Canis lupus familiaris: one gene and its partners. The protein of the gene in region 1 purifies or fractionates together with the protein of each later gene. This does not show direct contact. Links are inferred from orthologs where the notes say so. Each region holds a gene or a part of one and is shown in the gene's direction. Other genes may lie near its edges. The genes, in order: DCAF8, CUL4B and CUL4A.

Evidence for each region.
Region 2: the proteins of DCAF8 (region 1) and CUL4B purify together in Homo sapiens (affinity purification with western blotting; 7 studies listed by BioGRID and IntAct, counting the BioPlex papers as one, with this or other methods). This does not show direct contact. The link is inferred for Canis lupus familiaris from reciprocal best matches to the Homo sapiens genes DCAF8 and CUL4B.
Region 3: the proteins of DCAF8 (region 1) and CUL4A purify together in Homo sapiens (affinity purification with western blotting; 11 studies listed by BioGRID and IntAct, counting the BioPlex papers as one, with this or other methods). This does not show direct contact. The link is inferred for Canis lupus familiaris from reciprocal best matches to the Homo sapiens genes DCAF8 and CUL4A.

Annotation. Positions count from the first base shown.
Region 1 is NC_049259.1:22,799,313-22,810,253, forward strand, and holds part of DCAF8 (DDB1- and CUL4-associated factor 8), read left to right. Parts: intron 1-1,643; 5' UTR 1,644-1,669; coding exon 1,670-1,718; intron 1,719-5,014; coding exon 5,015-5,685; intron 5,686-6,598; coding exon 6,599-6,739; intron 6,740-7,967; coding exon 7,968-8,062; intron 8,063-10,941. UniProt on the Homo sapiens protein: May function as a substrate receptor for CUL4-DDB1 E3 ubiquitin-protein ligase complex.
Region 2 is NC_049260.1:93,249,203-93,260,143, reverse strand, and holds part of CUL4B (cullin-4B), read left to right. Parts: intron 1-738; coding exon 739-1,281; intron 1,282-1,450; exon of another isoform or gene 1,451-1,554; coding exon of another isoform or gene 1,555-1,576; intron 1,577-3,376; coding exon 3,377-3,492; intron 3,493-10,941.
Region 3 is NC_049243.1:60,806,489-60,817,429, forward strand, and holds part of CUL4A (cullin-4A), read left to right. Parts: intron 1-768; coding exon 769-887; intron 888-3,146; coding exon 3,147-3,339; intron 3,340-4,696; coding exon 4,697-4,801; intron 4,802-5,092; coding exon 5,093-5,203; intron 5,204-5,288; coding exon 5,289-5,374; intron 5,375-5,688; coding exon 5,689-5,796; intron 5,797-9,417; coding exon 9,418-9,531; intron 9,532-9,758; exon of another isoform or gene 9,759-9,862; intron 9,863-10,941. UniProt on the Homo sapiens protein: Core component of multiple cullin-RING-based E3 ubiquitin-protein ligase complexes which mediate the ubiquitination of target proteins. As a scaffold protein may contribute to catalysis through positioning of the substrate and the ubiquitin-conjugating enzyme.

The DNA of each region.
Region 1 (10,941 bases):
CCGTTCTTCGCTGTTGTTTTTGACGTGGCTTCACAAATCTGTGCTTTGTTGGCGTTGTCTCCCAGCACCCTTCCAGGTCCTTCCTTGGACTCAGCCTCAGCCTGCCCGTGCATTATTTCCACCCCCCCGCCCTGGCCTGCCAAGCAAGCTTTGGGCAGCTGTCTCCTGGCAGGGGACAGTTTTTGAAGCAACTTGGATTTCTGTAGAGGAGAGTAGGGGGTCAGGATAAGGATGAGGCTGCTTCTGGGATAATTGTTATGTGAATGAAAGGGCTGTTGAAAGATTAGAAGCCAGTGTGCCTGGGTACGAGGACTGGAGTCATAATCATACTTTGTCTTTGACCAGTGCCTTTTGTCTAGGCACTGAAAGGGCTTAACAAAATTCTGGTCTGAATAATATTATTCTTTGCTCTTTGGAATTTGCTCGAGGTGGGAGTGAGGCCCTGTAAAAATAATGAATGTGTTAACAGTGGTATGAAAGGAGAAAAGCTAGGTACCCAGATTGCCAGATAGGACTTTTCTAAACAGATCTGGTGAAAGTTGGTGGAATTGGGTAGAAGAACATTTGCCGTTTTTAAAGTGGACTGAGATAGTTTAATGGAAATGTGGCCTTTACAAGCTTCTTCCCCAGCTGACTTAGTTGTAAAAGGAAAAAAAGAAATCTTTTAGGTTCTTTCTTGGGGAGAGGGTGCTCCTGAATTCTAATTTGGCTCTGTTGCTTATAATTCTTCATTAATATCTGTGCCTGTGAGCTTGAAGCTTGGCATCTGAGTGAACCTAAAGCCCAGGCTCTCACCCCAACAGCTTGGTCTCTTCTGTCTCTGTTGATTTGTGTGTAATGTGATATTCAGAGTCTGGCCCCCTTGTTCATGTTACGAAGACAAGTCTTTCATAGAATTTATGGGTGATCCATCTGACTAAATTTGCAACAGAAGATTCTTGCCTAGAGGGCAAGGCTGAAGGTAGCTTTCTAGGTTATGGTCCTCTGTGTGCAGTACCTGTCACTGGGTATGTGCTGGCACAGGTGGTATCTCAGTTCCTTCTTTCTCATCTCAGAAATCACTGCCAGCTACTCAGTAAAGAGATGGCAGTTGAGGGACCCCCTGGTGGCTCAGCAGTTTAGCGCCTGCCTTTGGCCCAGGACGCAATCCTGGAGTCCCAGGATCGAGTCCCGAATTGGGCTCCCTGCATGGAGCCTGCTTCTCCCTCTGCCTGTGTCTCTGCCCTCCACCCCCCCTCCCCCCGTGTCTCTCATGAATGGATGAATAAAATCTTTAAAAAAAAAAAAGAGAGATGGCAGTTGACCTCTCAAAGATATGTTCTGTTATGAAATTTAGACATGGGGGATGGGGCCCTGGTATGATTGTCAGGAGCTAATGAGCCCTGTTGAGCACACACTCAAAAAAATCTTCTTTTTCTTTTTAATTTTTTAAAGCAATCTCTACACTCAATGTGGGGCTCGAACTTATAGCCCTGAGAGCAAGAATCACGTGCTCCACTAACTGAGCCAGCCAGGCGCCCCTCAGAAAAATCATTCTTATGAAAATGACAAAGGCTGTGTGCATGGTTAAATGTCCTGGCTCTTTTATCTTCTCTTCTAGATTATTTCGTAATTATTTCATTTTCTTCCTCTCCTAAATGCAGGCTGGCCACAATAAACATCATTCAAGATGTCCAGCAAAGGGAGCAGCGCAGATGGCAAAACAGACTTAGCCAATGGTAAGGAGCTACCTGAGGTTCTCTTCCTTCCCCAAAGAAAGTGGAGACCTGGATTTTAGCGGAGGAAATCTTTCCTAAGAGTGGACCCTTCCTGTGTTTTATGTGTAGGACACTATGCAGGAGACACCTTGGACTATCCGGTACTTTTGTTCGTTCAACTTCTCATTGTTTCCAGAAGATCAGTAATAGAGCTGTGCCATTAGGAGGAGTTCAGGTAGTTTGGAATTCTGAAAAGTGGTAAGAGTGGATGAAACCTAGGAAAGAAAGATCAGTTGGTGGTGGAAATAAGGGAGTTGTGGGAAGGTGAGGTTCCCCAGTTGTGATAAGAGGTCTCTTTCTACAGCAGGTCCTAGTTTGGTAGAGACAGCAGACAAGAGATGAAGTTACAGCCCACACTGACTGGAGTGAGGGCTGGCCTGCATTCTTTGTGGGGTCTGGCTGGGTGTGAACTCACTGGGTCCAGGGCCCGTTTGAAGGTTTTGGTAATGGTTTATTTGATCAGTGCTTCAACCCTGGGCCAGCTTCTAAACTAGAGACATGTCCTTCAAATGGATATAATTGGACAGCATAGAGTTCAGCATTCCTCAGCACATTGCAGGTCAGGATTATAGGCTCAATTCTAGTTGATGTGATTGTAGAGCAACGACATTGAGTAAGGGAAAGTGAGATTTTTCAACAACCTGGTTTATTGCCCCTGTGTTCTCTTAGCAGTGCTGTTCGTTCATCTCTGTAAAAGAAAGTGATTGAGATTCTTCACTGGGTTCATTTGAGAAACTCAGGTTTGAGGTATATAATTGATTTGGAATTTGGCCATTAGCCAGATCAGGCATTAGCAGACTGTGGCCTGCAGGCCAGATCCAGCCACCCACTGTTTTTGTAAAGTTTATTGGAGCACAGTCATGCCTTATTCACATGGTGCTTATGGATGCTTTTGTGCTCTAACAGTGGAGCTGAGTACTTGTGACAGATCCATATGGCCTGTGAAGGCCCTCTACAGAAAAAAATTGCCAACCTCTGGATCTTGGTCATTGACTGTTAGGGTCCTGTTGCTGAGCTTGTAATTTGCTGGCCCTTACATTAATGCGGTAGGGCCTCCAAGTCGTCTTGATTGGCTAATCATAACTTTAACAAGAAATGCTGGGAGCTTTGGTGTTTCAGTTTTCCTCATCTGCAGAAGTGAAATGTGTGGTGTTTTATCCTTTCTCACCACTCCCAGTTTCAAAGCCAATTGTATTTGAGAAACCACAACTACTAATCTTTCTCAGTATTCACAGCAGTCTCAGCAAGTGTGGTTCCTAGGGGCGAATTGCTGCACTTTCCCCCTTTTTCTTCCAGTTCCTACACCCGTTTGTTTTCATGCTGGGATCTTAGTTGTGGTGCTTTCTGAAAAGAGCTGTTTATGAGTCTCCCAACCTTCAGTCACCACTTCAACCAATGCGTTTGTATTGTTCATCAGTTTTCTGTGTCGGGTTTTGCCTGAGAGTTTGTCGTGCGGAGGTTCCATTGCTGCAAAGATCTTTGGAAATTACTGCTCTACTCCAGGTGACTAAGTTGTCAGGCGCTACTTGGAATCCTTTCAGCATCCTTGTGGGGTTGGATAGCTCCTACCAGAGTTTCACATAGCTGGTCTGCTGTTGCTAACAGCCTTTACTTCTGGCAAGGTAAAGTCTGTCATCAGGAAAGGAGACTGTGAACGGTACTTAAAGTCCTCATTCCTGCCTTCCTTCCTTCATACCTTGGCTTCAGTGTGGAAGTTATGGTCATATTGGCCAGAGTGCTCTTTTTTTTTTTTTTTTTTAGATTTTTTTTTCTTTCTTTTTTTTAGATTTTTAAAAATTTATTCATGAGAGACATAGAGAGGCAGAGGGAGAAGCAGGCTCCATGCAGGGAGCCCAATGTGGGACTCTATCCTGAGTCTCCAGGAACACACCCTGGGCTGAAGGCAGGTGCTAAACTGCTGAGCCACCAGGGCTGCCTCAGAGTGCTCATTGAAATATGATTTGCCTGTTGCTAGGTAGGCGAATGCAGTGTCTAATTGTCAGGGATGAGAGTGCTCAAAGTGACTCCGTTCTGTTACAACCACCAACATGGCAGACTTAGAATATGGTGAACTTTCTTTCTCAGATACCACTCACGAAGCCCTGCTTTTCGTCAATTTTGCATATGCTTCCTTTTTTTTTTTTTTTTTTAAGATTTTATTTATTCATGAGAGACAGAGAGAGAGGCAGACACAGGCAGAGCAAGAAGCAGGCTCCATGCAGGGAGCCTGACGTGAGATTCGATCCCCGGTCTCCAGGATCACACCCTGGGCTGAAGGCGGCGCTAAACCACTGAGCCACCCGGGCTGCCCTTGCATATGCATCCTAATAAAACTCTACCTGGATAAAAAAAAGTTCCAAAAAAAAAAAGACTGTAACTAAAAGTCCTATTAACATTATTAAATTAATAGAAATCAGAATACATCTATTCGTAAAAAGTTAACCCATTCTAATGGTCAGAATCCCCACGTGTCCCTTCTACTTCTTCCTGGATTGCTATTGGATTTTAGGACCTCAAGAAATTAGGATTTAGAAAGTAGGAGGTAGTGGTGCTTTCTTTAAGTAGGAAATCTTTCAACTCCACACCCATTGTCAGAGTGATTTTAATCCGCTATCTTGTATCCTCTAAGAAGATGACTATACCAGCTCTTCCTGGGGATGGCTATTCTTTTTGTCTTTTTTTTAATTTTATTTTATGATAGTCACAGAGAGAGAGAGAGAGAGAGAGAGGCAGAGACACAGGAGGAGGGAGAAGCAGGCTCCATGCACCGGGAGCCCGACGTGGGATTCGATCCCGGGTCTCCAGGATCGCGCTCTGGGCCAAAGGCAGGCGCCAAACCGCTGCGCCACCCAGGGATCCCTTCTTTTTGTCTTATATTCAGTTTAATTCTTTGCTGTGGCTGCTGGATGTGTGTCCAGCAGAACTGAGCTTCAGGTGGTTGTATAGGATGTACTTCCACACAGCTGCCCATGCTTTGCAAGATAGACTCTTAGGCTGTCCTACAGTTCTTCACTTATAGTGAAATACCTTTGTTTGCATGTGGCTTTGGTCTTAATCTTTTCAGTTTTTTGTCCTTTCTCAGATTCCTGCCCAGAAGTTAGTTTTTATAAGCATTTGAAAAAAACACCTTAACCAGAGTTGGTTTCTGGGTCTTTTGATGTGATGATTTCTGGGACTAAGGAGGGGCTATGCTTCTGATCACTATCCCATTTCCTTATTTTCCCCCCCTCACCCACTCATTCCTCACTAACCTGCAGGAAGCCTGTCTAGCAGTCCAGAGGAGATGTCTGGCGCTGAGGAGGGGAGGGAGACATCCTCAGGCATTGAAGTGGAAGCCTCGGACCTGAGCTTGAGCTTGACTGGGGATGATGGTGGCCCCAATCGCATCAGCACAGGAAGTCGGGGTACAGATACAGAGAGCTCAGGTGAAGACAAGGACTCTGACAGCATGGAGGACACTGGCCATTACTCCATCAATGATGAAAACCAAGTCCATGACCGCTCAGAGGAAGAAGAAGAAGAAGAGGAGGAGGAGGAAGAGCATCCTCGGCGCCGTGTCCAGCGGAAGCGGGCCAACCGTGACCAGGACTCGTCAGATGATGAGCGGGCCCTGGAGGACTGGGTGTCTTCAGAGACATCCGCCCTGCCCCGACCTCGCTGGCAAGCCCTTCCTGCCCTGCGGGAGCGGGAGCTGGGTTCCAGTGCCCGTTTTGTATACGAGGCTTGTGGAGCAAGAGTCTTTGTGCAGCGTTTCCGCCTACAGCATGGGCTTGAGGGCCATACTGGTTGTGTCAACACCCTGCACTTTAACCAGCGCGGCACCTGGCTGGCCAGTGGCAGCGATGACCTGAAAGTGGTGGTTTGGGACTGGGTGCGGCGGCAGCCAGTACTGGACTTTGAGAGCGGCCACAAAAGCAATGTCTTCCAGGTGAGGCAGGGGAGCAGAACAGCAGTAGAGAAAGTCAGGCAGGAGTTAGAAAAGCCTGAGGTGCCTAGAGTGGGAGCTGATAGTGAGATGTGGTAGGAATTAAGGCAGCAGGATTCAGTCCTCGCGTGCTCCCACGATGACTTAGAGGGGTTAAATGCACTAAGCGACCAATGACAACCTTTTATTTTTCCTAAGCATAGAGGTGTTTGGAAGTCATCAGGAAGGTACTAAGTGTGCCCTAGTAGAAGGCATGCAGAGTAAGAACAGAGGCTCTTGAACCAGACTGGGTTTAATTCCTGGTCCTGCACCTATTAGCTTCATGATCTTGGGCAAGTTATTTAATGTCTGTCTTTGGTTTACTTATCTGTAGTGTAGAGCTAGTAACACAGAAGACCATGAGGGTTAATAATGATAGAGGTTAAGCAGTGTAAAACCATGCCTGGTGCTTTCTGAACATCTGATGAGTATTAGCATTATTGTTCTGTTTCTTCATCAGCCCTCTCCATCATCTTGGTACTAGCACTGATTCCTAGGCATAATCTCTTCCCCAGTATCCTCTCTGTTTTCCTTTGTCATTGTAGCAAATTTGTTTGCTTTCTGAATTAAGATAGATTTTCCTCCTTTTTTCCTTACATTTTCCCCTAGTAGGCATAGTCCTAGTTCACCTGAGCGCTTTATCCTATACCAGGTCCTTGCAGTGTCAACTGAGATACTCTTCTATCAGAAGGTTTTCCTCCCTCTTCTTTAACTCTTAGAAGAAATTGGACTTGAGCCAACAGTAAGACTAGGAGAGCTAAGTTTCCAGCTGTTGTGCAACCAAGGGGATAGATTGGGGTTGTTATTACAGTCTTTCCCTCTCAAATTCACCTCCTCAATTTCTTTCGTATATCCCTTTTTTTCATGAACATCCCAGGCCAAGTTCCTTCCTAACAGTGGTGATTCCACCCTGGCCATGTGTGCCCGTGATGGGCAGGTGCGGGTAGCAGAGCTATCTGCTACACAGTGTTGCAAGAATACGAAGCGTGTGGCCCAACACAAGGGAGCGTCCCACAAGGTAAGTAAGCTTTGCTCCCACAGTTGTGCAGTCCAGCTGCTCAGGCATCTCAGCCAGGACCTTCCTAGATCTCTGCCTATGTGTGTCCTGTCATGATCACCTGCTTCACTTCTTCCAGTCCTAAAATTTGTAGATAAGAAAGGAGAAGTAACAACCACCCTAAACTTCTTGGAAGTATTTGAAAGCTCTCTAGATCTTGCGTGTACAGTATTCAATTAATTATGCCTAACCCCTAAGCTGACCAATGGTCGGTTTGGAAGTCCTTGAGGTCTCCTTTGCCTTCCTCTTAAATTTACTTTGCTTGTATCTAGAACACCTTAATAGCTCCAAGGTCCTGGTGGTTGGCTCCTCACATGTGAGAGCTCCAACTTTTCTCCTAGGTCTCAGGGCACAGACAGCACTATTTCTGGAAGCCCTATTTAGGACTGGGAATATAGGACAGACAGTCATAGGGGCATGGGTGAGGAGCTGAGGGCTGCCTTGTCTCAGAGTGGTCATGCTGTAGAGGCGGGTGGCCCTCTCTTAGAAACTCTAAGCTAATATATAGGTGGACCTGGAATATCCTTTTCTAGTCCAGATGGCTCAGAAAATAAGAAAGTTACCTATTTCTTTGATTTTTAAGCCTACTACCTTCAACCCATTAGTTAACTAATTTTACAACTAAGATGTAGAGAGTAAAAAACTTGGGCATCATTTCTCTCCCTGAGAGTGGAATTGATTTTATTTGAGAATAACCCTCTTTGGGATCCCTGGGTGGTGCAGCGGTTTAGTGCCTGCCTTTGGCCCAGGGCGCGATCCTGGAGACCCGGGATCGAATCCCACGTCGGGCTCCCGGTGCATGGAGCCTGCTTCTCCCTCTGCCTATGTCTCTGCCTCTCTCTTTGTGTGACTATCATAAATAAATAAAAAAATTAAAAAAAAAAAAAAGAATAACCCTTTTTAATGGTTGAAGTTTTTCTTTGGTATCACTATTCAGATCCCTTGGGGACTTAGTTGAAATAAGAAAACTCTTGTCCTTTTGACTTGTATAGAATAAAACAAGCTATAACTAATTCACATAGAACAAGAGTGAATGGGTTTCTTAGTTCCTTTCCTGGGGTTTTACAACAGAAAAGCTAGACATGTCTCTTAGTTGAGATACTAAAAATGCAATCCTTCCTAAAGATAACAGAATGAACTAGATGGCTTCTGACTCTGATCTGTAGAAACCTTTCTTTTTCTCCCTCAGTTGGCCCTGGAACCGGACTCTCCCTGTACGTTTCTGTCCGCAGGTGAAGATGCAGTTGTCTTCACCATTGACCTCAGACAAGACCGGCCAGCTTCGTAAGTATAGCGATAATGTTTTTACAGAACTGGACCTCTTGGCCTTGAAAATACCCCACGTGTCCTAGGTAATACCCACCTCTCTGGTCAATCCAAAGAGTCCCTCTGTGCCTGTGCTAAGAAACAGATTGAAGTTCAGGGCACTTCCTCCCTTTGTTGTTTGCCTGCTTCTCAGCAGTACCGTACTATTCAGTCCACCTTCATGTCTAAAACAAGATACGGTTCTCTTATATGTGGGCTTTAATAACTACTTGTTGATCTCCTCTCTGTCCGCTTGGGTGCCACTCAGCTCACCCATAGGAAGCATCTACAGAGCAGCTTAGGTCCTGTGTAGTTTTCAGTTCAATTATATATAGAAATATGAAAATAAGTGATAAATCGTACACTAAAATATTAGTAGCTGTAATAGAGTTCTGTTGTATCACAGCTCATTTCTACATAAATTTGAGGCTCATGGTTAAATGACATCCCTCATCAGCTGTGTGATGTCAGAGAAAGAACAGAGCTCTTGTTTGGCTCTGGACGGACCTAGGTCAGATTGCAACTCAGGCACTGCTATCTAACCATTCCGAACCTCTGTTTCTCCAGCTTTACTTTGGGCATAACCCATCTCTCCTTCTCTCCCTAGGCTCTGAGGGGGTCATTGATAAATGTGATTGATGGTCCAGCATAGTGTCTGGCACCATGTTTGGAACTGATTATATTATGGCTACTAATTAGTTTTTAAAATTTTAATTGTTCTTATAATAAATATATCTTATTTTTAAAATTCAAATAATAAAGTATATGGACAAAATGTAAATGCTCTTTCAGGCACACCTCCCCTCCCTGACTTTTCTAGCTATTGGTAGCTGCTGCTAAAAATTTTGGAATACCTTTCCAGTCCTATTTGTATATTTTTATGTATCTTAACATATATTCATATATACACTTTTCCCTATAAATGGGATAAATATATGTATGTATAAACATACATAATGTAAGTTTCTGCAGTTTGCTTTCTTCGTTGAATTGTGTTTTGGAAATCTTTATGCATCAGACCATAAAGGTCTTCTTAACCATTACATTACAGCATTGGTGTAATACAGTTTATTTTATTGCTGCCTTGTTGATGAATTATCTAGATAATTTATGGTCTTGTTAATCTTAAAATTATAAGAAATCTTGTATGTCAATACCAATATTAAGTAAGGGATGTCATTGATTTACATAGAATACAAGTAGAATATAAACTAATTTAGGGAATATAATCTCAAACTTGGTTGATATTAGATTTTTTTCTTTTTTTTTTTTTTTAAAGATTTTATTTATTTGAGAGAGCGCAAGCAGGGCGAGTGGCTGCCAGAGGGAGAAGGAGAAGCAGACTCCCCACTGAGCAGGGAGCCCAATGTGGGGCTCAATCCTGGGACTCTGAGATCATGACCTGAGCCGAAGGCAGATGCTTAACTGAGTCACCCAGGCACCCCTTCTTTATTTTATTATTATTATTATTATTTTTTATTTATTTATGATAGTCACACACACACACACACAGAGAGAGAGAGAGAGAGAGAGAGAGAGAGGCAGAGACATAGGCAGAGGGAGAAGCAGGCTCCATGCACCGGGAGCCCGACGTGGGACTCGATCCCGGGTCTCCAGGATTGCGCCCTGGGCCAAAGGCAGGCGCTAAACCGCTGTGCCACCCAGGGATCCCCCCCTTCTTTATTTTTTTAAGTAAGCTCTACACCCCACCATGGAGCTAGAACTCAGAATCCTGATATTAAGAGTTGCATGCTCTACCAACAGAGTCAGCCAGGCGCCCAGACTTTTATTTTTAGAGAGATAATTATAGAAAAGGTTGTTTAGAAAGTGGAACAATTAATTAATTGGTTAATTAATTTAGAAAGAGATGGGAGGGACAGAGGGAGGGAGCATCTTAAGCAGGCTCTGTGCTGAAGTTGGAGCCCAACATGGGGCTTGATCTTAACAACCCTGAGATCATGAACTAAGCCGAAAGCAAGAATCAGATGCTTAACCAGCTGAGTCACCCAGTCACCCTAGAAAGTGGAAGAATTTAAAAAATGTTTTAGGCTTGTGGAAAGGATGTTCAGGTTACTTATATAAACCTTCAAGAGAACGAAGTTTGGGAAATTATGGCTTTTACTGGAAAGCGAACAGGACTAATTGACAAGGAATCCATCTGCCTTCTGGTACTAGCCCACAGTTCTTTAGTTGTGAGGAGATCATTGGATTTCTCAGTCTACATGTTTGTTGTTTTCTTATTTTATTCTTTAAAGATTTTATTCATGAGAGATGCAGAAAGAGAGGCAGAGACATAGGCAGAAGGAGAAGCAGGCTTCTCGCAGGGAGCTGGCTGGGGGACTTGATACCCTGACCCAGGATCAGGCCCTGAGCCAAAGGCAGATGCTTCCCTGCTGAGCAACCCAGTCCTCCCTCATTATTTCATTCTAAAGTTGCAGAGGTAGGGGAAGGACAAAGATGTAACAAATGAGCTGAGTTTGTTTGATCCGCTTTGGTAGAGGTGTGAGGCAGACTGGGAGCTTATCCTGTGTGTCAGGTCATAGGAAAACCACCATTAGGCCACAAGGAGTGGGCGGGCGGGGGGAGACCACATAATGGGCAGAACAGATGACTTTGGCAGATTATTGAATTTGGAATGAAATGACGTAAGCAGTGGTTCTGCATGCAAGCACTGATAGATGGATAGAAATTCAAAGAGGAAACTTTCCTAGGAAGCCCAGATTCTAGATTTGGGGAATAAGAGACTGAATTTTCAGAAAGTTTTTGCTTTATGGGTTGAAGAAATACAGAAAGCCTGACCGAAGTGGGAAACTGAATGTGAAGGTCATGCTGGAAGATCCAAGCTCTCCTAATGTGTT
Region 2 (10,941 bases), on another chromosome or scaffold:
AGCGCGAAGCTCCCCGCGGGACCGTTAAGGAGGGGGTGGCAGTTACTGGCGGGCCAGGGAAGAAGAGTGCTGCCAGGGAGAGGGAGCGGGAGGGGGGGCAGCGAGAGCGAGAGAAGGAGCACGACCGTCTGGGGCGCCTTAGCCGCCGCTTTCCCGCCGCCTCCCTCCCAGCCAGCTCCCCCGCCCCCCGGGCGCCTGCAGTGCTTCTCTCCACCCCCCACTCCCGGGGACAGACGCCGCCCCTCCCTCGCCGCCGCGTGACCGGAAGTGGCGCCATCTTTAGCCTCTTGTGCTATTGACAATAACAAGCCCTGGTTCTCTCCCCCTCCCCCTTCCCCCTCCCCCCAACCACGGCATCTCCCCTCCCAGAGAGAGGGAGAAAAGGAGGAGGAGCTGCAGCCTCACAGACTCACTGAGTCGCTCCTGCAGAAAGGGGGGAGAGAGACCGAAAAGCAGGGGAGGGGGACGGCACGGCCGTTTACCTGTCTGCCTCCTCATTCGCTCTCCCCCCTCGTTCTGCTCACTCCTGGTGTCAGCCTATCCGCCTTCCCAAACCCTCCCATTCCCCCGGTGTAGCCCCCCCTTCACTTTCCTTCTCGTCCTCTGTGTTTCTCCTCTCTTTCTTCCCTTCCCCCCTCTAGCATTGCCACCTTCTCTCCTACACGCACGCAGGCATATAAACGTAGGTTTTTGATGCTCCTCTGCCTGTTGACCCCGCTATTTTCATGTTTCCAACAGGTTTTTCTTCCCCCAATCCCTCAGCTGCTGCTGCTGCTCAGGAGGTCAGATCTGCCACTGATGGTAATACCAGCACCACTCCGCCCACCTCTGCCAAGAAGAGAAAGTTAAACAGCAGCAGCAGTAGCAGCAGTAACAGTAGTAACGAGAGAGAAGACTTTGATTCCACCTCTTCCTCCTCATCCACTCCTCCTTTACAACCCAGGGATTCGGCATCCCCTTCAACCTCGTCCTTCTGCCTGGGGGTTTCAGTGGCTACTTCCAGCCACGTACCGATACAGAAGAAGCTGCGTTTTGAAGACACCCTGGAGTTTGTAGGGTTTGATGCGAAGATGGCTGAGGAATCCTCCTCCTCTTCCTCCTCATCTTCACCAACTGCTGCAACATCTCAGCAGCAGCAACTTAAAAATAAGAGTATATTAATCTCTTCTGTGGCTTCGGTGCATCACGCAAACGGCCTAGCCAAATCTTCTACCACCACTTCTAGCTTTGCTAACAGCAAGCCTGGGTCTGCTAAGAAGTTAGTGATCAAGAACTTTAAAGGTAACCAAGGCCAAAATCCATAATCACTGACTAAGGATTTGACACTTGAGCGGTCACGTGCTCTATTTATGTTAATATATTAAACAGTATAGAGGTGGCCTAATGTTTTATGCATAATCAATGAGGTGGAGGGAGGTCCTTTTTTGGGTGGAGGGTTCATTTTCCGGGGGTGGTTAGTATTCTTGTGCTGAAGCATACACCGGCGTGTTTCTGTGCAGTATTTGATGTCTGGCTCAGTTTAATCTGTTACTCAGTGTAACATTGCCAGTCGGTATGATTGATCTGGATTATACAGGTGAGAAATTTGTATTCTAAGGAGGTTTATTTGTTTCAGGTGCATAGTGAGCTTTGGCACTGCTGGGATTTTTATTTTTATGCTTCAGTAGGCCACATTCTCTAGTCCCTAGAAATGCAGGTAGCATTGGTGATCTTTTCATGCTCAAAGATGATTTATAGTTAGATTTATAATGTTGGATACTATATTCTTGAAACTCCTTGTGGAAGCAGTTTTGGAGAAAAATATTTATGATCTCTGCATATCTTTCCAAAGATAGGGTTTGGAAGTGAAAAATACTGTATACACAAAAGTAGTAACTCTGTGTACCACTAGTCTAAAGATAGGAACAATTACTACATCTATTTTTTTTTTCACTAAAATGGGCTTTAAAGTACTGACCTGCAGCTTTTAGGAAAATTTGTTCATTTCATGTTTGAGATATGTGATTAAGAGTATTATGAGTGCATTGATGCATGTAAAATCAACAATTTTTAAAAACATAATTGAAATGAATTACTTTTTTTCTGTTGACTGTATTTGTTTTTCTGACTTAAGTTTTTCGACATCCTTAACTGGCAGGTAATAGATGCTAAGATGTTTATTAAATACAAAAGTAAATGAATGAACTGAAGTAGTATTTACCAGATAAGTGTCTTGTGGCTAAATATCAGTATTGAGAAAATTAGATTCTCAGTGCTTGTGTTTTCAACATTAGTGTGGAAATCAGAAATATGCTCTATTTTGTCTAGAGCAGAGGGTTATAGTGTTTATTTTTAACCTTTTTTTCCTATCACTCCTCTCCCATCCCCAGGTTCTTAAGAGTGTTGTAATCTTTCTGATTTAATAGTAGACCTTTCTGAAGTAAATGTGAATTGTAATTGACTAATATGTTCACTGTTCCAAAGTATATCAATTTAACAGTCAAGGATTTTTAAAGAGAGGAGTTATGATCCTAATTTAATTTGCATACTGGTTTCTGAGATTTTGTTTGGGTTTTTTCTTTCCCTCTTAAACTAAAAACATATCCTTAAGGCATTAGGATATTTTAATTTAAAAAATACTCATTGCTGGTCAATGAAGTTTAAAGCCTGGCTTAAGGTAGTCCTGTCCATTCTGAAAATGCTACAGAGGTTCTGGAGTCATTTGGATGTTTTAATTTTTTTAAATTTTACTCTGCTCATGGATGTAGTTTAAATTAAAATCTGAGTTAAGATGTTTCTCTTCATTTGTAGATGGTGCATAAATGTGGGGGTCAAACAGAGTTGGGTTAGAATCTCAGTTTTGCCACTGATTAGCTTTAATGACCTTGGGCAAGCCTTACTAAATGAGTCTTCTAGCCTCAGTAGTTTTCTCCGTTGTAAGATAGAGATAAATAATACCTTCCTTAGAGCATTGTTAGGGAGATTAAGATGTTTGTAAGGTACTGTGTGCACAGTGGATATTCAGTATTTTAAATCTTAGGTGCAAAATTCATGTTGACTGACTTAGGATTTACATGTGATGGAATAAGATCGGGACTGTTTTTATCTGTGATTTTTGAATTTTGATTTTTTAAAGCAATACAGTCAATTGAAAAAAAAACCTCTCACCTTTAATTTTAATAGGTGAGTCAAAATGACTTAAACAGTATTCTGGCATTTCAAATTTTATTCTTTATGCTAAGGCTAAAAAGCAGTAATTACTTTAATAATTAGATGTTGTGATTATAAAAATCACAATTTACCCTTGAAAAGCAATAATACTATTACTGTACTTTAGTGGAGCCTTCCATTACTATATCCTACATATTCTGATATCAACCTTGTACATATCACCTAGATAAGCCTAAATTACCAGAGAACTACACAGATGAAACATGGCAGAAGCTGAAAGAAGCAGTGGAAGCTATCCAGAATAGTACTTCAATTAAGTACAATTTAGAAGAACTCTACCAGGTATGTATTAATGTGGATAACCAGATTTGGCAAGCATAAATTGAAGTAGTATGTAAAATATGGATTTTACTTTGAAATGACTCCTTATGTAGACTTTTGGTTTCCTTCTAATGAAAATGTCTTGATTTATGTACTCTGCTTTATAATCAGACCACATATTCTGACATACTCTAACATTCTGACATAAACTATGAGTATAGTCATACTGGTATATATTGGGTTTACCTTGGACCCTTCTGACTGGGATTTATAGTGAGGAATACCTTGGTATTATCAAGGGTTTACCTATAATGGAATCATACAGCCTGGATCCCAAAGGTGTGATTTCTGATGACAAGTCATTCTGTTATGGTACTTATCCCTAAGTGGTGTTACTCACCTATAGGAAAGGCCTCAAGAAATGTAGATATTCTCTATATGCTTTATCCTCCCTCATTCATATTAGTAGCCTTTTGCCATTTCTTTTTCCTTTAAAAAAATAGTTTATTCATGAGAGATACACAGAGAGAGGCAGAGGGAGAAACAGGCTCCTCTCAGGGAGCCCAATGTGGGACTCCTGGGTTGGGGATCATGCCCTGAGCCAAAGGCAGACACTCAATTGCTGAGCCACCCAGGCGTCCTTGCCATTTCTTCTTCTTGTTCTTCATGTTTGTTTTATTTTCTGGGCTACAAGATTGTCTTTAGCCAAAAAATCAGCAGATTATAGTACAGTGACTTGATCTGAGGTTCAGGTTTGTTTCTTTTGCTTTATAAATGGGTTTATACTTGAAGTATTCAGTTTAAATATACCATTAAGGGCAATTACTGATTTAGACTTCTTACTACCATGATTTTGCTCTACTGTATTTTTTAAAAGATTTTATTTATTTATTAGAGTGCACATGCACAAGCTGAGGGGGCGCAGGGAGAGAGAGAAGTAGACTCTCCGCTGAGTGGGAGCATGACATGGGAGCTCAATCCCAGGACCCTGAGATCTTGACCTGAACCGAAGGCAGTCACTTAACCAACTGAGCCATCCGGGGGCCCCTGCCCTACCGTACCGTATTTTTGACGCAACCACTTCAAGAAGTTACTTTGCATTATAGTGTAAGCAGTTTCATGTAGAAAAATACTTCAGAATCCAATAGCTTGTGTATTTTTTAGAGAGCAAGTGCGTGCGCTAATGAGCAGTGGGGGGGAGCAGAGGGAGAGAGAATCTCAAGCGGTCTCTGCGCTGAGCATGGAGCCTGACTCTGGGTCCTGAGATTTCAGAACCCCAAGATCATGACCTGAGCCAAAAACTCAGGATATTTAACCAACTGTGCCACCGAGGTGCCCTGCTTGTTCTTTTCATATTGATAAGTACCTTGTAAGAAATTAAGTGGTTTGATTTATCAGAATTTGTAATTTTTATCTATTCATTTTAGTTGCAGAGATATTACGGTAATGGTTAAACCCTGTATTAGGAATCTGAAGACAGGGATCCCTGGGTGGCGCAGCGGTTTGGCGCCTGCCTTTGGCCCAGGGTGCGATCCTGGAGACCCGGGATCAAATCCCACATCGGGCTCCTGGTGCATGGAGCCTGCTTCTCCCTCTGCCTGTGTCTCTGCCTCTCTCTCTCTCTCTCTGTGACTATTATAAAGAAATAAAAATTAAAAAAAAAACTGTAAGGAATCTGAAGACAGATTTGGGATCTTGTTTTGGTGGCTATTACCCTTGTGATCTTGAGCAAGAAACTAGACCTCCTTCAACTTCAGTTTCTTCCTTTGTAAAATAGGGGAAAGAATACTTGTCCTATCTACCTCAAAAACACTTTGAAATGCTATATTCTAGAAATATAAGATGATGTAGTAAAGCTCTTGCATAAGTCACAGTGTGGTTTTTTTTACTTGTAATAAGTCAATTACGATCACCAGGTTCTATTGCTGTGAAAATCTCAAGGAGTCAGTGCATGGAAAACACTCAGAACATGCCCAACACATAGTAATAATGTTACACAATATAATCATTATAACACTGTGTTAAGTAGTACAAAGCTATTAAGGATAAGCCCACCTTATTTGACTATGTTGGTATGTTACATATGAGGCTTCTGAGTTGTACAGTAATAAAAGTAGAATTATGGAATTAGAATTGGAAAGACCTTAAGAAATTGTGTAGTCCAGTAGCTTTTTTTCATATAGTGCAGGTGGCCCTCTACAAATCAGGTTTATCTTTTATATCTTTTCAGTATTATAGAAACCCTTTGTCAAGTAGAGTAGTAGTTATTATTCCTCTATTGATGAGGAAATCGAGTCTCAGGGATGTTAAATAACGTGCCCAGACTCAAACTGAGATGGCCAATTTTCAAGTCCAGTGCACATTCACTACTGTGTTGCTTCAATAATACACCACAGCACTTCAAGTGCCTCTATAGTGTAGTGTATGTAAGAGACAAATAAATAGTTTTACTTTAGGGAAAAAAACTGTCACCAAATAAATTTTTTCATATGTGTGTGTGTATGTATGTATATGGTGATTATTTGGATACATTTTATATTTATAGCATATTGGCTGTGATTGTTAATGAACCCTATTTACTTTACCTTGAATATTTTTATAGACTTTTGGGGTTCAAAAATATTTTCCTGATAAATTGATTCTGTTAAATTTCCTTTGTTTCAAGAGCTCATAGCTTGCATTTTTGTGTTTTTCATTTTATCTAATTCAGAGTTACCACCTGCTATTGTTCAGTTGTATTTCTTTAGCCTAAAAACAGTGTTATAACTGTTTACTCTCTATATTTTTTACAGTACTTTACTATTTTTGCTGAAGTAAATTCAAAAGTATTTGTTTCTAGCTCTTTTGTTGTTTTTCACCCTAATTTTATAAATGCTCCCTTTGGATTATTCTCAGAGAGTTTATTTTGAGAATTTCAAGTTCAAAAAAGGATAAAAAGATAAAGGGAGTAAAATTGTTTTGTACCATCTGGATTTCAGGTACTTGTTTAATTTTGACTGAAATGTAAATTAAAAGTACTCTTCCTTTTTTTAATGTTTTATTTTTTTAAAAGATTTTATTTGCACAGAGAGAGCATGTGTACAAGCAAGGAGAGCAGCAGGCAGAGTGAGAAGGGAGAAGCAGGCTCCCTGCTCAGCAGGGAACCCAATGTTGGGGCTCCATCCCTGGACCCTGAGATCACCTGGGATCATGACCTGAGCCGAAGACAGACACTTAACTGAGCCACTCAGGCACCCCTAAAAAGTACTCCTAAAGAGAGTGTAAGGGGAGAAATGGCAAAAAAAAAAAAAAGTATTCTCATAAAATTGAGACGATAGAAGTATGTAGTATACCAAGCAAAAGTTCACCAAATCCCTCACTCCCCCATTGTAGCCTCTATCTCTGAAGTAAATGCTTATTTCACATGTGTCTGTGCAGAACTTTTGTCCGTGCATGTAAAACCATTAAGTTTTAAATCTAAAGCATGGAAGTCCCTAGTGTGGATTGCATGTACTGCCTCCCTAAAATTTTAATTTCTAGAAGAGAACATGTAGTTTTGAGTGCATTTGCAAGAAACAGATGTCTTTTAAAAGTGATTTAAATGAGGGATCCCTGGGTGGCGCAGTGGTTTGGCGCCTGCCTTTGGCCCAGGGCGTGATCCTGGAGACCCGGTACCGAATCCCGTGTCGGGCTCCCGGTGCATGGAGCCTGCTTCTCCCTCTGCCTATGTCTCTGCCTCTCTCTCTCTCTGTGACTATCATAAATAAAGATAAATAAATAAATAAATAAATAAATAATAAAAAAGTGATTTAAATGAGAATTGTACTTGAGCTTAAAAATTATCTTCCTGGACAACCTTGAAATCCTACAAGTGTGAGGCAGTGGTTAATGTTGTTTTGGTTTTGGGAGATTTTTTTTTGCTTGTTTTTGATTTTCTACAGATAGTATGGTTAAGTGCACTGATCTTTGAGTTCATCAGCTTGCTTAGATTAGAGATCTGCCACTCATAATAACTTTGGGCAAGTTACTTATCTAAGCTTTGTTTTCCCCATTTGTAAAATGGGAAGACTAATGTTACCTATATGGCAGGGCTGTTTAGCTGTAAAATACTGCAAAAAATTACTTATTACAATGTCTGCTATTTATTGGTGTCACCAGTGATGTTGATGATAATAAGAGTCTTTTAAAAAGATACTTTTATTTTAAGATTATACTTTATTATACAGCTCTAAAGCCACACGTTTTAAAATTCTAAATCCACATTGGGCCAGAACAGCCGGCTGATAAATAGATTACATTCCAAATATGTGTCAGTAGACACCATTAGCCAAATTGAAAAAAATAATAGAAAAAGAGAGGCACTCTCTAGGAACAGTGTCCTTTACATCTCAAGAATATGTCTTGTTTTTTACATGTGGTATCTTATAGTAGTTGGAATTTTTGGTATTTTAAGTAAAGGGATTATTTTCCTCATGTTCTCAGCCTTTGTATAAGTAGCTGTGGAGTGTTTTTATTTTTATTTATTTTTATTTATTTTTAAAGATTTTATTTATTCATGAGAGACACACACAGAGAGAGAGGCAGAGACACAGCAGAGGGAGAAGCAGGCTCCATGCAGGGAGCCCAATGTGGGACTCAATCCGTGACTCACGCCCTGGGCCAAAGGCAGGCACTCAACCGCTGAGCCACCCAGGCGTCCCTGTGGAGTGTTTTATTTTTTTTATTTTTTATTTATTTATGATAGTCACACAGAGAGAGAGAGAGAGAGGGGCAGAGACATAGGCCGAGGGAGAAGCAGGCTCCATGCACCGGGAGCCCGACATGGGATTCGATCCCGGGTCTCCAGGATCGTGCCCTGGGCCAAAGGCAGGCGCCAAACCGCTGCGCCACCCAGGGATCCCTGTGGAGTGTTTTAAAATCAGCTACATTTTTTTTGGAACTGCCTGGTTGTTTATATATGAAAGTATAACATTTATTCTTTTTTTAAAAAAAGATTTTATTTATTTATTCATGAGAGACACCGAGGCAGAGATACAGGCAGAGGGAGAAGCAGGCTCCCCGCAAGGAGCCTGATGCAGGACTCGATCCCGGATCCCAGGATCACACCCTGAGCCGAAGGCAGACACTCAACCACTGAGCCACTCAGGCGTCCCAACGTTTATTCTTTTTTTTTTCCCAACATTTATTCTTAATAAACATGTCTAGCTGTTTTCTTTGAAGACAAGCCTAATCCATACTTCAATTCTGCTGGAAATAATTTTATTTATTATTAATAATGGGAACTCTGGTTAGCTTTTTGTGAAGTAAATCTTAAATAATGAACTTTCCTAGTAACGCTTCATTTATCAAGTAGATGACTGTAAGACTGAAAGCAAATAGTGTGTCCTTCTCAGTATAGGTTATTACCCATTGTAAAATCTGGTGGTTTAAGCAGTCAGAAGTTATAGAAGAGCAGTTAGATTCTTAGCAGAGATGACCAGCTTTTGTATTCTATATTGATGAGTAATTAATTGTATTCTATGTAAAGTTATTTAATTGTTGTCACTCTTGATGTTTTTAAGTTTAATCTGTCACATATATTGCTTCTTTCTTTATTGAGTTAGTACACAATATTATCTCTGCAATTTAAAAAGTATGCAACTACAAATTCTTAATCCTTGGTAATTTTAGTCTTATTTAAACCTTTTTTCCTAGATGTAAAAAGAAAAATTAGGTTTCATGTCTGGCTTCCTTTCTGCAAGTTCTTAGTTTTTGGTATATTTCAAGTATCTTATTTCAGCCACTTTTACTAAGTGTAAAAAGGTAATTTAGATTTTATTGCTGTATCAGTTTTTGAAAACTGTGCTTTCCTTTTTCTTTAAACATAGGGTTTGAAAAATAAGACCCAACCCATTAGGCCAATGACCAGAGTTCAGCACCCTAATGGGAGTTTAATACCTTTCTGGGTGTCTGTTGTTAAATCAGAAAGTTTCTAGATTTCCTCCTATACTGTGTTTAATTATGTTTGCAGTCATTATATTTTTTTATTCTTATTTTAATCCTCTTCATTTTTTATTCTAGGCTTATTGCTCACCCTTATTTCCGTTCCCTTGTTCCAGATGAAATCTTTTGTGCCTTTGCTGTTTCTTAAATCCATTATTCCCCAAAGCATCAGATTTCAGGAACTATAGTTTTATATTTCATTTGCTACACGTTTACATTTCTTTGGAGTGAGTGGTTTTGTTTGTATCGGACAAACATGCTTTTTTTCTCTTTTTTCGGACAAACATATTTTTTGATGTGACATGTGTGGATTTTGGAGGGTAGGGGCTGGGATTTAGAGGAATAAAGGTTAGAATCTTGCTAGAATGTTTCTATTTTATATCTGACTGCCTTCAAAAATGATTTAAGGCAGCATATTTACCAGTAATGATTGGGAGCTTGAGTAAAAAGAGTTTTATTTAAGAGACTTATAAAACTATGTAGAGTATGATACAAATAGTTGCATGTGAAGTGAAATATAAAATAATTAATAAAAAAATAAAATAATTAATACTTAATGCATTTCTGGTAGTGCATTTCAAAGAGATGGAATAAAATAGAGCTTATCCTGGGGGCACCTGGGTGGCTCAGTGGTTGAGCATTTGCCTTAGGCTCAGGGTGTGATCCCGGGGTCTTGGGATATAGTCCCACATCGAGCTCCCCACGGAGAGCCTGCTTCTCCCTCTGCCTATGTCTCTGCCTCTTTCTCTGTGTCTTTCATGAATAAATAAATAAATTCTTTAAAAAAATAGAGCTTATTCCAAACTTTAAGTAGTGATTTAACACTTCCCTATTTATGTTTCTATCCCAGCACCTATACAGAGTACTTATTTAGTAAACAGTCCTTGTTGAATCAGTTACTGCTTCCTATGTGCAAAGCTGGACAGATGCCATGGGCATATAGAGATCACTTAGGCCTTGCCCCTAAGGTGCTTAGATTCTAGTTAGGTTCATGAAATTAGTAGTTTGTGACCAACATTTTTTAAGACATAAAATAGAAAATAATTGGAGAATATCACATATAGTAATAAGTATAGTTTCTTGAAGATTCTGTTTCAATTACATAAATCTATGTATAATAGCTTGTGACATGAAGTGCATTTTTTACTGTGGCTTGTCAAAAAACTTTGGAAACCCCTGTTTTAGGCACATATGACTGCTCCAAACAAACCTTGCTTTAAAAAGTAAGGAAAGCAGAGTGTTTAGATCAAGGTGTGTGTGGAAGATTATAAATAGACATCAGACTAAAATGGTAAGATTGAGCCTTGAATGCCATGCTGAAAGGTGGGGAAGGTAGAAAGGGTTTATTGGATGAGGTGAATATATACTTAATATATTCATCCTATTAGAAGCCCAAAAAGTATTACAGAACATGTAGTGAAAGTTTTACTTCCCCTCTACCCTCCTTTGCATTCAGCTAGTTCCTCTATCCACAAACATTATTAGTTTGGGGAGTATCTTTTCCAGCAG
Region 3 (10,941 bases), on another chromosome or scaffold:
TTTTTTTTAATTTTTATTTATGATAGTCACAGAGAGAGAGAGAGAGGGAGAAGCAGGCTCCATGCACCGGGAGCCCCATGTGGGATTCGATCCCGGGTCTCCAGGATCACGCGCTGGGCCAAAGGCAGGCGCCAAACCACTGCGCCACCCAGGGATCCCAAGATATGGAAACCTTAAGCTTAGTCATAGAAAGGCCCAGAATTATAAATTATATTATATATTTATATATTATTATAAATTATTAGAAAAATAATCAGCTGAAAGATGAGACTTGGTAACTCCCCCTTTGACAGATCTGCTTTCTGAGTGATAAACTAGATCAGGGGTAAGAAGGGGCAGTGAGCCGTCAGGGAGTGCTGCTCAAGCCCCTGAATTAGTGAGACCAGGGCTTCCATGACCTGAGGAATTAAGGAACATACCCGCCCGCCTGCTCAGAAAATGAGCCCTGCCTGACCGGGTCTGTCTCGGATTCCGGAGATTAACGTGCCTGCGTAGAAATAAGTTTTTTGTTTTGTTTTGTTTTTCATTTTATTTATTTATTCATGAGAGAGACAGAGAGATAGAGGCAGAGACACAGGCAGAGGGAGAAGCAGGCTCCATGCAGGGAGCCTGATGTGGGACTCGATCCCGGGACTCCAGGATCACGTCCTGGGCCTAAAGTAGGCGCTAAACCACTGAGCCACCCAGGGATCCCCCTAAAAATAAGATTTAGTTCTAATGCTGACTTGCTGATGGGATGTGCTTATTACTTTTGCTGTGTGATCTCAGGGCTTGACCACCTGCTTGATGAGAACAGAGTGCCCGACCTCACTCAGATGTACCAGCTATTCAGCCGTGTGAAGGGTGGGCAGCAGATCCTGCTGCAGCACTGGAGCGAGTACATTAAGGTGTGTGGGGCCGTCTCAGTGGGGTAACAACTATACCTCGGGTAGGGCAGGTGTCCTACCTCCATGGTATGTGGCATCTGGCAGAGGACCTGGGCAATCTGGAGACACCATATTTCTCTCCTGGCAGGTGCTTGGGTGGATAGCGGTCTTGCATTTCTTATTTCTTTCCAGATCACTGGTACAAACTTTTTTTTTTTTTTTTTTTTTTTTTTAAGACGACACCAAGATTATGAGCAGCACCTACAACCAGGTGCAGTGAAAGTCTTCTATTCGTTGTCTGCCTAGGCTCCATTCCAGTTACAACCACAATTTTCAGAGAGTCACCCTTTCTGTGAATCTGCTTTTTAAACATCCCATGCCTTTGCTCATGAGAATGATAACACATTTGGTGTGTGTGCCGCTTCATTTCCTGGCCACCTGGGACTGTCACTTTCACAATACTGTGATGTTTCTGTGGCACATTAGCGTGTGGTTATGGGAAGGCAGCAGGATGGTTCTTGTGCTGGTGCTCAGTGCCTGATCACGATGATGGGTGCACAAGGCTGCCCCGGCAACAAGTCCAGAGAACAGTACACACACATGGGAGACAGATAAAACTAGGGCAGCCTGGAGAAGATGGGTGCAGAGTACCTGTGCCTGTACCTCAACTGTGATGCTGCTCTATCATTTTGCCAAATGTTAGCTTCATGGGGAGCTGGGCAAAGTGTGTAAGGGATCTTTTTAACTCTTTATACTGCATGTGAGTCTATAATTATCACAAGAAAAAAAATCAGTTAAATAGAAGGGATAATGGGAAGCTTGCATGTGGCTTTATGGTATAGTCGGTCCTAAAACTTCATTATCTACACGTGGAAAGCTCATGCACAGGGGTACCACACCCTCGGAGACTTTGGAGACAAAATTCATAACCAACTTATGTCAGATCAGCCGAAGACCTGGGTATTATGGAAAGTCTAATGGAGAACAAGGGTGTTGCTGATGAGGAGCCCTTGGGACATGTGCCAAGCACAGGAGGTTCTTACCTTCGCACAGTTCAATCTGGGTCATCAAAATGAGTGAGGTGACCACCATTCCTCAGTGTCCACCAAGGATCAGCTGTCACACCATGACAGGAACACACAGTGTGGGATTATCACAGGAAAGCTGAACCTTGGCAGCGTGCGTGTGTGTCATTTTTAAATGCTGTTGGTGCAGAAGGGCACAGAGTAGAAAGTCCCAGCCCTGCTGGTCACACGGTGTCCCTCTCCAGAAGGTCTCTGTGCCAGTTTCATTTGTATCTCTTCACCAATAATCTGCCTCCACTTTACATATATGACACATGAATATGTGTGTATATGCTATGGAAACCAGTTTTCCAAAAATATGTATATTATTTCTGATAAAAGACAAAATTCGGTTGAGGAAATTTTGAAGATCTTACTGGCTTTATTTAGGGACTCATGAATACTGCATACAGATAGAAAGAAGCCTTGGAGAGCAGGATGATACAGAAGACTTCTAGGCAGGCGGGGGCAGAACAAGGAAGGTATTCTAGTGAAGAACAGTTGGCTATGGCAAGGTCACCTTCCTTAGAGGACAGCAGGGATCTGTGTGGTAGAGCACCTCACTCGTGCTGGCAAGCCCAGTGATGGACTGCTTTAGGACTCCATCCTCAGAGTGGCTGAGACTGCACTTAGGGCAGCAATAAATCCTGTCTGCTGGCCTGGGGCTGAGCACAGTGCCTGCATTTGCAACCTGCATCTCTCCCTTTTGAAACACATTAAATAGTAGTAATTGTAACCTAGCACAGTTTATATCATCTGGTAGTGTATATCCTGAAGCAGCTATTACTGTCACATACAGACTTTTGGTGATGTTGAATATAGCATTTTTGAATTAAAAATACAGGCTAACAGCTGGGCTATTCTTGGTTAGCAGTGGGGGAGTAAAAATACTATAGTCAAGAAGTCCAAGTGGTTGTGTTAGGTTCATGGGAACTTGTGTTTGAGGAATTCATAGGATAAAGGTTTTTTTTAATAATAAACACTAATTTATGAATTCTTTCAGAAGCAGAATTGTAACACTGAAGCATTAATTGTGTATATTCACATAATATTTTGAATGTGGGCTGAGTCTGTGAAACTTCTGAAATTATTTAGTATTTAACACCAACAGTAATTAATTTAAATTAAAGTATTATGGTTGTTTGATAGCAGGATGAAAATGTGTGATACCATTGCCGGTTGATGAATTGGTGTGTGTGTGTGTGTGTTCTTGTAGACTTTTGGGACAACAATTGTTATCAATCCTGAAAAAGACAAAGATATGGTACAAGATCTGCTGGATTTTAAAGATCGGGTGGACCATGTGATAGAAGTGTGCTTCCAGAGGAACGAGAAGTTCATCAACTTGATGAAGGAATCCTTTGAAACGTTTATCAACAAGAGGCCAAATAAACCCGCAGAGCTGATAGGTAGAAAAACATACTTCCATACCTAAGTTTAATATGGGAAAATAAGACAACTCAAATAAATTTTTTTCCCCAGAATGTTTAAACTCCTCTTGGGGAGGATGGGGAAAGATTTGTGTTATATCTCATGAGGACACATTTTTTTAAAACGTGTATATGTTACGTATACATATAAGCACGTGGTACTTCTATAGGAAGGGTGAACATAGTAGCAGTTTTGTAAAGATGACGCTTGAGGTCAAGGAAGACAAAATTTTATTTTCATATGCATTTGCTATACTAGTAACTCCAGAACCGTATTTGGTAAAATGAACCCTGTTTCTGTCTTGATGACAGCGAGTAATTTGTGCTCAGAAACTGGATGAAGAGGATTTGTTCTATACGAATATCTCTGTGTTATGAGGATGACTTGATAATCTCTAGAGTGTATTTACCTTTGCATCCTCTCATCAGTACTAAAGTAGGATAAAATTGGATAAAGTCCTAGAAGATAACATGGTTTAAGATAAAACAGTTTTATTACCACTGTATACAATTATGTCATCCTAATACCAAAACATATTTCAGGATTCACAGCCTCTCACTAGTTGAAGTTTTTAGGCAAAGAGCAAAGAAAGAAGTAGTAAATACAGTAAATTCAACATTGGGCTTATTGATTACTGTTGAGGATATGTGATGGGAACGTGGGGTTCCTTATACATTTTCCTACTTTGGTGTATGTTAAGAGTATTTCATAATAAAAATATTGTGAAGGAAAAACTATAAAAGTAGCAAGAAGCAGGGCCCCTGGCTGGCTCAGGCAGTGGAGCCTGCAACTCTTCATCTCAGGGTTGTGGGTTCGAGCCCCACCTTGAATGTAGAAATTACTTTAAAAAATAAAATCTTTTAATTAAAAAACAACAACAAAAAAAAATTCACAAGGCAGTGTAGTTTGGCCTTTGTGCCACTTTATGATTGCGGTTTCTCCAAAGATGGATATTTAACTCTTGGGGTTTGAGTTTCTGGAAGCCATGGTTGATCTATGTGGTCTCAGCAGTAAGAACCCCCCTGAACATCCCTGTGTTCAGGGGTGCCGCATCTCAGAGAGGGGGCGTTCCAATCTCTGGAGCAATGGTGTGTTGTGAAACCCAAGCACGTAATTAAAGTATTCTCAATGTGACTTGAAAATCCTTCACTTAGAAAATCAGATTATCTGCCTTTTATCATATAATAATGTCATTTTGGGAAGGTTCCAGAGTGTTGCTGTCTCTGCTTTTTTGCTTATAAAAACTAAAGATATTCTTTTTTTTTTTTTTTTTTAGAAAATGTATTATATAACAAATACTTACCCTTCAAATAACTTACACTTTTAATCTCACAGCAAAGCATGTTGATTCAAAATTGAGAGCGGGTAATAAAGAAGCAACAGACGAAGAGCTGGAAAGGATTCTTGACAAGGTCATGATAATATTCAGGTTCATTCACGGTGAGACATGCTCTACGCTATTTCTGTTAACATTGAGCATGGAGAAAAGGTTACCTAGTCCATCTGTACTGGGGCCCTGTCTTTTCTTGAGAAAAATTGAGACATTTCCACTTCCGTGTTAACACAGGAAATAGAGGGATGGCCGCCCACCAATTGCAAGTATTATTTTGTGGAAATGTCACTGTCTTCCAAGTTAGATCTGCTTGCAGCAGAATAAACACTTAGCGTTTCCACAGTGAATATTTGCAGATTAACTGATGTCTTCTGTCGTTCTCATTTGGTTATAAATAGGGAAAGATGTCTTTGAAGCATTTTATAAAAAAGATTTGGCAAAAAGACTCCTTGTTGGAAAAAGCGCCTCAGTTGATGCTGAAAAATCTATGTTGTCAAAACTAAAGCATGGTAAGCATGTGGGACCCGGGGTCTGTCCTTCCTCTGTGCTGGGCGTTGTCCCTGGTGGTGTTGATGCTCTCCACTTATGTCCCAGAATGCGGCGCTGCTTTCACCAGCAAGCTGGAAGGCATGTTCAAGGACATGGAACTCTCCAAGGACATAATGGTCCAGTTCAAGCAGGCAAGCTGGGTTTTTTTTTTTCCCCAAAGTAAAACAGCTGTATATAAACTCTCTCCCATTTTAAGTTATGTGAGGTGATAATGTAAATCATGTAAAGCCCTCAGGCTTAAAAATGACACTACTCATGTCTCACATATTTGAATGACTTAAATTCAAAAGGAAAAAGAAAATCCCTGAAATAACATAACAAAATTTGATTTAAGTAAATATAATACTGTGCTGTGTGAAAATTACACCATTTACCTTTCTATGAACTCGCTATTTTTGATGATATTCTACAATAGTTACTTAATCTTGATCTTTTTTGTTTTTAGTATATGCAGAATCAAAGTGACCCAGGCTCTATAGATCTAACAGTGAATATACTTACGATGGGATACTGGCCAACCTACACACCAATGGAAGTGCATTTAACCCCGGAAGTAAGTGTCTCAGAGAACGTTGTCCTTTTTTTTCATATATTGGTGCGGCCAAAGCATTGTAGACTTCTTAAACACACACGTGCACAGACATATTATCTGTCACAAAATATTTAATGAGTTTTTCTTTTCTTTCTTTTTTTAAGATTTCATTTATTTATTCATGAGAGACAGAGAGAGAGAGAGGCAGAGACACAGGCAGAGGGAGAAGCAGGTTCCACACAGGGAGCCCAATGTGGGACTCGATCCCGGGACTCCAGGATCACGCCCTGGGCTGAAGGCAGGTGCTAAACCGCTGAGCCACCCAAGCATCCCATGAGAGGGTTTTTCAAATCACACAAAGATCAGTGTCCTTGTGGTCTCTGGAAGGCATTGTTGCTCAGTGAATGTCTGTGTCCCGTCTGGCTCCTTCTCACCCCCCGAGTTCCCTGGCTGACCATCAAGAAGATAACGGCACTGGTATAGCACTACTTGGCAGTTGTCATTCCGTCCTGGTGTGGGCACTGCGGGTCTCGTGGGCGCCCCTGCTCAGGGCTTTGTAGGTCAGCCACAGCTTTAGGCATGCTGAGGATTTACAGACAGGAGGGAGGATCCTAGGCTTGGGAACTTAAAATCTCTTCACCATTCATTCTAATATAGGTGACGTGGAAGAGGGCTGCTTCTGGTGTGGGACCGGGAAATAGGAATGCAGGGCTGAGGGTCTCCTGCAAAGGGCCCAGAACAGTGTGGAGTTGCAGGAACTGGGAGCCCGGGTGGGAAACAGCCCTGTTGGGGCTTTTTGTTCCATGTCCAAGACCATGTCTTTCAGGATTTTCTTCTGTTTCTGACCCCACTGATTGCTTTTGTATTCTTTTTGTTTGTTTTTCATTTACTGTTGAAGCACAGTTGACATACTATGTTGCACATCTTCATCTGTTTTTCTTCCGCCTCTCCTCTGGACACTAATGCTCCCAGAGCCCTGGGCCTGAGTGCATGCGGACGTCCCGAGCTCAGCACCCTAGATTGCGCTGGTACCTGAGTCCCCACCCTGTGGGGTATTCGACTGCTGTTTACAGATGCAAAGGCTCTGTACTAAGCTGCCTGCTGGCTCTGTAGCTTCAGAACCTCCATGTGTCACTTCCAAGCGGAGCCTCCACCAGAACACCCGCACTCACCTACCACCTCACAGCGTTCACCAAGCCGGACACATCCACCCTGGCTGTGCCTCTTGTGGCCCTGCCGAGTTTTTTCGCTTCTTTTTTCAAGATAGTTCAGACTACAGGGACTTTGTGAGAATAGTTCAAAGAATCCTCAGAACCTGTTGCCTGTGTTTCCAGCCCTCCTATGGTGCTCATTCTCTTTGCGTGGATGGGTGGAACATTCCTGCCGTTTGGGAAAGGCTATCTCCTACCTCCTATCCCTAAATACTTCTGAGGTACTTACCAGGGCATGTTGTTGAGTCAGACGCTTGATGCTGCTGTAGTAATTTCATCCCACGTGTAGTCCTCCGATTTTGTCCAGATGCAGCCCAGACCCCACACTGCAGTCAGCTGTAACAGCTTCACTGCCCTCTTTCTGTTTCTTAACACTCATGTGTTTCAAAGCCACGTGCAGTTTTCATGAATTCTCTCCATGGGATGTTTGTGATTGAATTCAGGCTGTGCTTGTCCAACCAGAATCCCACATGGATTTGCTCAGCATGCTAATGCTGTCCATGTGCCCCTGTCAGTGGTGGTGGTGGTGGGTGGTCTATATCATCACTTGGTTAAGGTGTTAGCTGGTTTCTTGAATGTGGTTAGTAGTCTTCCTTTTGTAATTTAGAAGTAATCTGTGGGAAGATATTTCAAGACCACATAAACCTTTTCCCCATCAGACTTTCCTGCTGGGAATTCCTGCCTGAGTCCACTTTCATTGTGATGCCCCGCAGCTTTCTCTGCATTTGTGTGAACTCTCAGACTCTCGCTTACTTGCCACGGTGTTCACACTATCCTACATCCGGGTGCTGGGGCACCTCATAGGCCCTTTGTGGACTTTTACTAACTTTTTGTTTTCTAGCAAAAGATGCGTGAGACCTACCATACTGTGTCTTTTTAAAAATATACCTACAATACACGTATAAATAAATAAATGGTAGGCAGAGTGTACCAACAGTTTACCACTTTGAGCTGTACCTTTGACTGGCTCAGAAGTTTGTCATCATCCAAACAGAACCCTGCACTTATGAGCACTGCCTCCAATTCCAGCCACCCAGACCTGGGCATCCACTAACCTGCTGTCTCTGGATTTGCCTGCTCTGGGTATTAACAGAATTAAAATCACATTTTGTTGCCTTTTGTGTCTCACTACTTCCACTTGGCATCCTGTATTCAAGGCCCATCGATGCTGCAGCCCATGTCGTACTTTCTTCCTTTTTAAGGGTGAGCGATACTCCAGGGTGTGCTCGGATCATGTTTTTGTCTCTGTCCAGAGGGACCATCCCAAGTTGCTATAAATGCTATCAGAGCAGAGCACTTGGAGAAGACCGTGAGGAAGGAGCTCTTAAAGATAAGTGGGCATGGTTATGGAGGCAGGTTCCCAAGTGGAAGCCCAAGGGAGGACAGTATGGTGCCCTTGGTCAGGCAGAAGAGGCACAGGCCAGGCCAGTGCAGGTAGCGGTTCAGAAGGAAGGGACCTTGGCAAGCCTTTTACTCTTTATTCTAAGAACCTGGAAGTAGCCAAGGACACTGACAAGGGAATGAGCAGAGTGCACAGGGCCGTGAGCTGAGGGTGCCACGGTGTTCAGGGTAGATAGGAGACAAACCGAGGAGGGCTCAGGAGTGGACACGGGGTAGAGACATAGAGGTCTAAGCAATGAGTGTCACAGAGAGCAGGATCATCTCACTAGTTGAAGCTTGAAGCAGCACAGACCATCAGCTGTCCTGGGTGCAGAGTGGTGGGGACATCCAGGGAGCCGAGCAAAGAGTGGAAGATGGGGTGTGCAGCAGGCTTCCAGTGTTTGACAGCACCCGTCCAGTGGCGCAACACCAGTCCTGGCATGAGAGCAGGCAGGGAGCCCGAGACGTGTCAGGCTATGGCTGGGCCTGCAGACGGTGTCTCTACCTAGGGATGGCCTCTGGAATATATATATAACGTTCATTATATATGCCACTGGCCAGGGGAGCCCCAGTGGGAGGTGTGGAGACTGCAGACCACAGCCTGTTGGTACATTAGGTATCACTTCAGGTAGCATCTCATGTGAGAGGAAAACCCTGTTGTGCTAGAGTGGTGCACATCTTCATGGTCATAGAGTAATCTAGAAAGGGGCACCTGTGTGGCTCAGTGGTTGAGCTTCTACCTTTGGCTCAGGGCGTGATTCTGGTCCTAGGATTCAGTCCCACATCGCCACCGCCCACCCCCCACACCCTCACAGGGAACCTGCTTCTCCCTCTATCTGTGTCTTGGCCTCTCTCTATGTCTCTCATGAATAAATAAATAAAAATCTTTAAAAAAAAAAAAATAATAATCCAGAAAAATAACTGTCAAAATATAGAACTGATCTTTTCATTCAGCTGTGAAAAATTGTTAAATCTTTGTAAATTGAGCAATATGTGGTTCTTTAGATGAACAGTGTTTAGCATAATTACATTTGTTGTTTTCCTTCGGCAGATGATTAAACTTCAGGAAGTATTTAAGACATTTTATCTCGGAAAGCACAGTGGTCGGAAACTTCAATGGCAAACTACATTGGGGCATGCTGTTTTAAAAGCAGAGTTTAAGGAAGTAAGTTTGTCTGTTTCATTTACTTTTTATAAATATGTTACTAGAATCTTTTACATTGTGGTTGAACTTTGGTAGCAAACAAAGGAAGAGGTTATTCAGTAAAACTCAGCACTGGCTTTTCTGGGTCAATAAAATTAAATAGTTGAAGGATTAATATTCCAATCAATAAAAGTCAATAAGAAATCAATGGAAGTAGAAAAGCATTTACCTGAGAAAAGAGCAAAGGTATGCTGGTTTCAGCAGCACATAGACTAGAATTGAAACGGTACAGAGATTAGCATGGTCTCTGCACAAGGATGACCCACAAATTGGTGAAGCATTCTGTATTTTGAAAAGAAAAGAAAAAAGATCAAAGGATGTGTAGAGGCAACTCATAGAAGCAAGACTAAGAAACCAAATTCTTTTTTTTTTAATAAAATAATTTTTTATTGGTGTTCAATTTACCAACATACAGAATAACACCCAGTGCTCATCCCGTCAAGCACCCCCCTCAGTGCCCGTCACCCATTCACCCCCACCCCCCGCCCTCCTCCCCTTCCACCACCCCTAGTTCGTGTCCCAGAGTTAGGAGTCTTTATGTTCTGTCTCCCTTTCTGATATTTCCCACACATTTCTTCTCCCTTCCCTTCTATTCCCTTTCACTATTATTTATATTCCCCAAATGAATGAGAACATAAACTGTCCTTCTCCGATTGACTTACTTCACTCAGCATAATACCCTCCAGTTCCATCCACGTTGAAGCAAATGGTGGGTATTTGTCAGAAGAAACCAAATTCAGTGACATATGTTCCACTTCTCTGCCGGTCCACGGAGTACAGATTAAACTGTAGCAGACACTACACTGTCTGATGAGAGTTCAACCAAGGCTGAGAGTTTAAGGACCAGCGCCTCCTGCTAGCACAAGACAGAGCATGTGAGCTTTAGGGTAACTGCTTTCGCCGCACACCTGCAGCCTCTCATCACTGTAGTGTCAGTTCTGGGAATTCCTCTTAAGGAGACGTTTTTCACAGATTAATGAACAAGCCTGTTTGTTGCAGCGCTGTTATTAAAAGGGATGTTATAGGAGAGGGAAGTATATACAGTGTACTGATGGCAGGAAGAAGCAGGTCACCAAACAATGCCTTCATATTCTGGTTTTAACTTCAGTTTTGTAAATTAAATTCAGTTGTATACACTAATTTAAAAATTTACAAGATTTCAAAAAAAAAAAAAAATTTACAAGATTTCTGTTTTGCTAGCTGTTACAATGCACTAATGCAGGGTATCCTGTAGATCATACAAGCACATACACAATGTATATAAACTACACGTGCCCTCACCCGCCTCTGCACAACTGACCTTCTGCAGGAAGATGGCGTGGCTGCACTTCTTTCCCTGAGGCTGGTCCTGGGGGTGGGGTGAAAACCTCA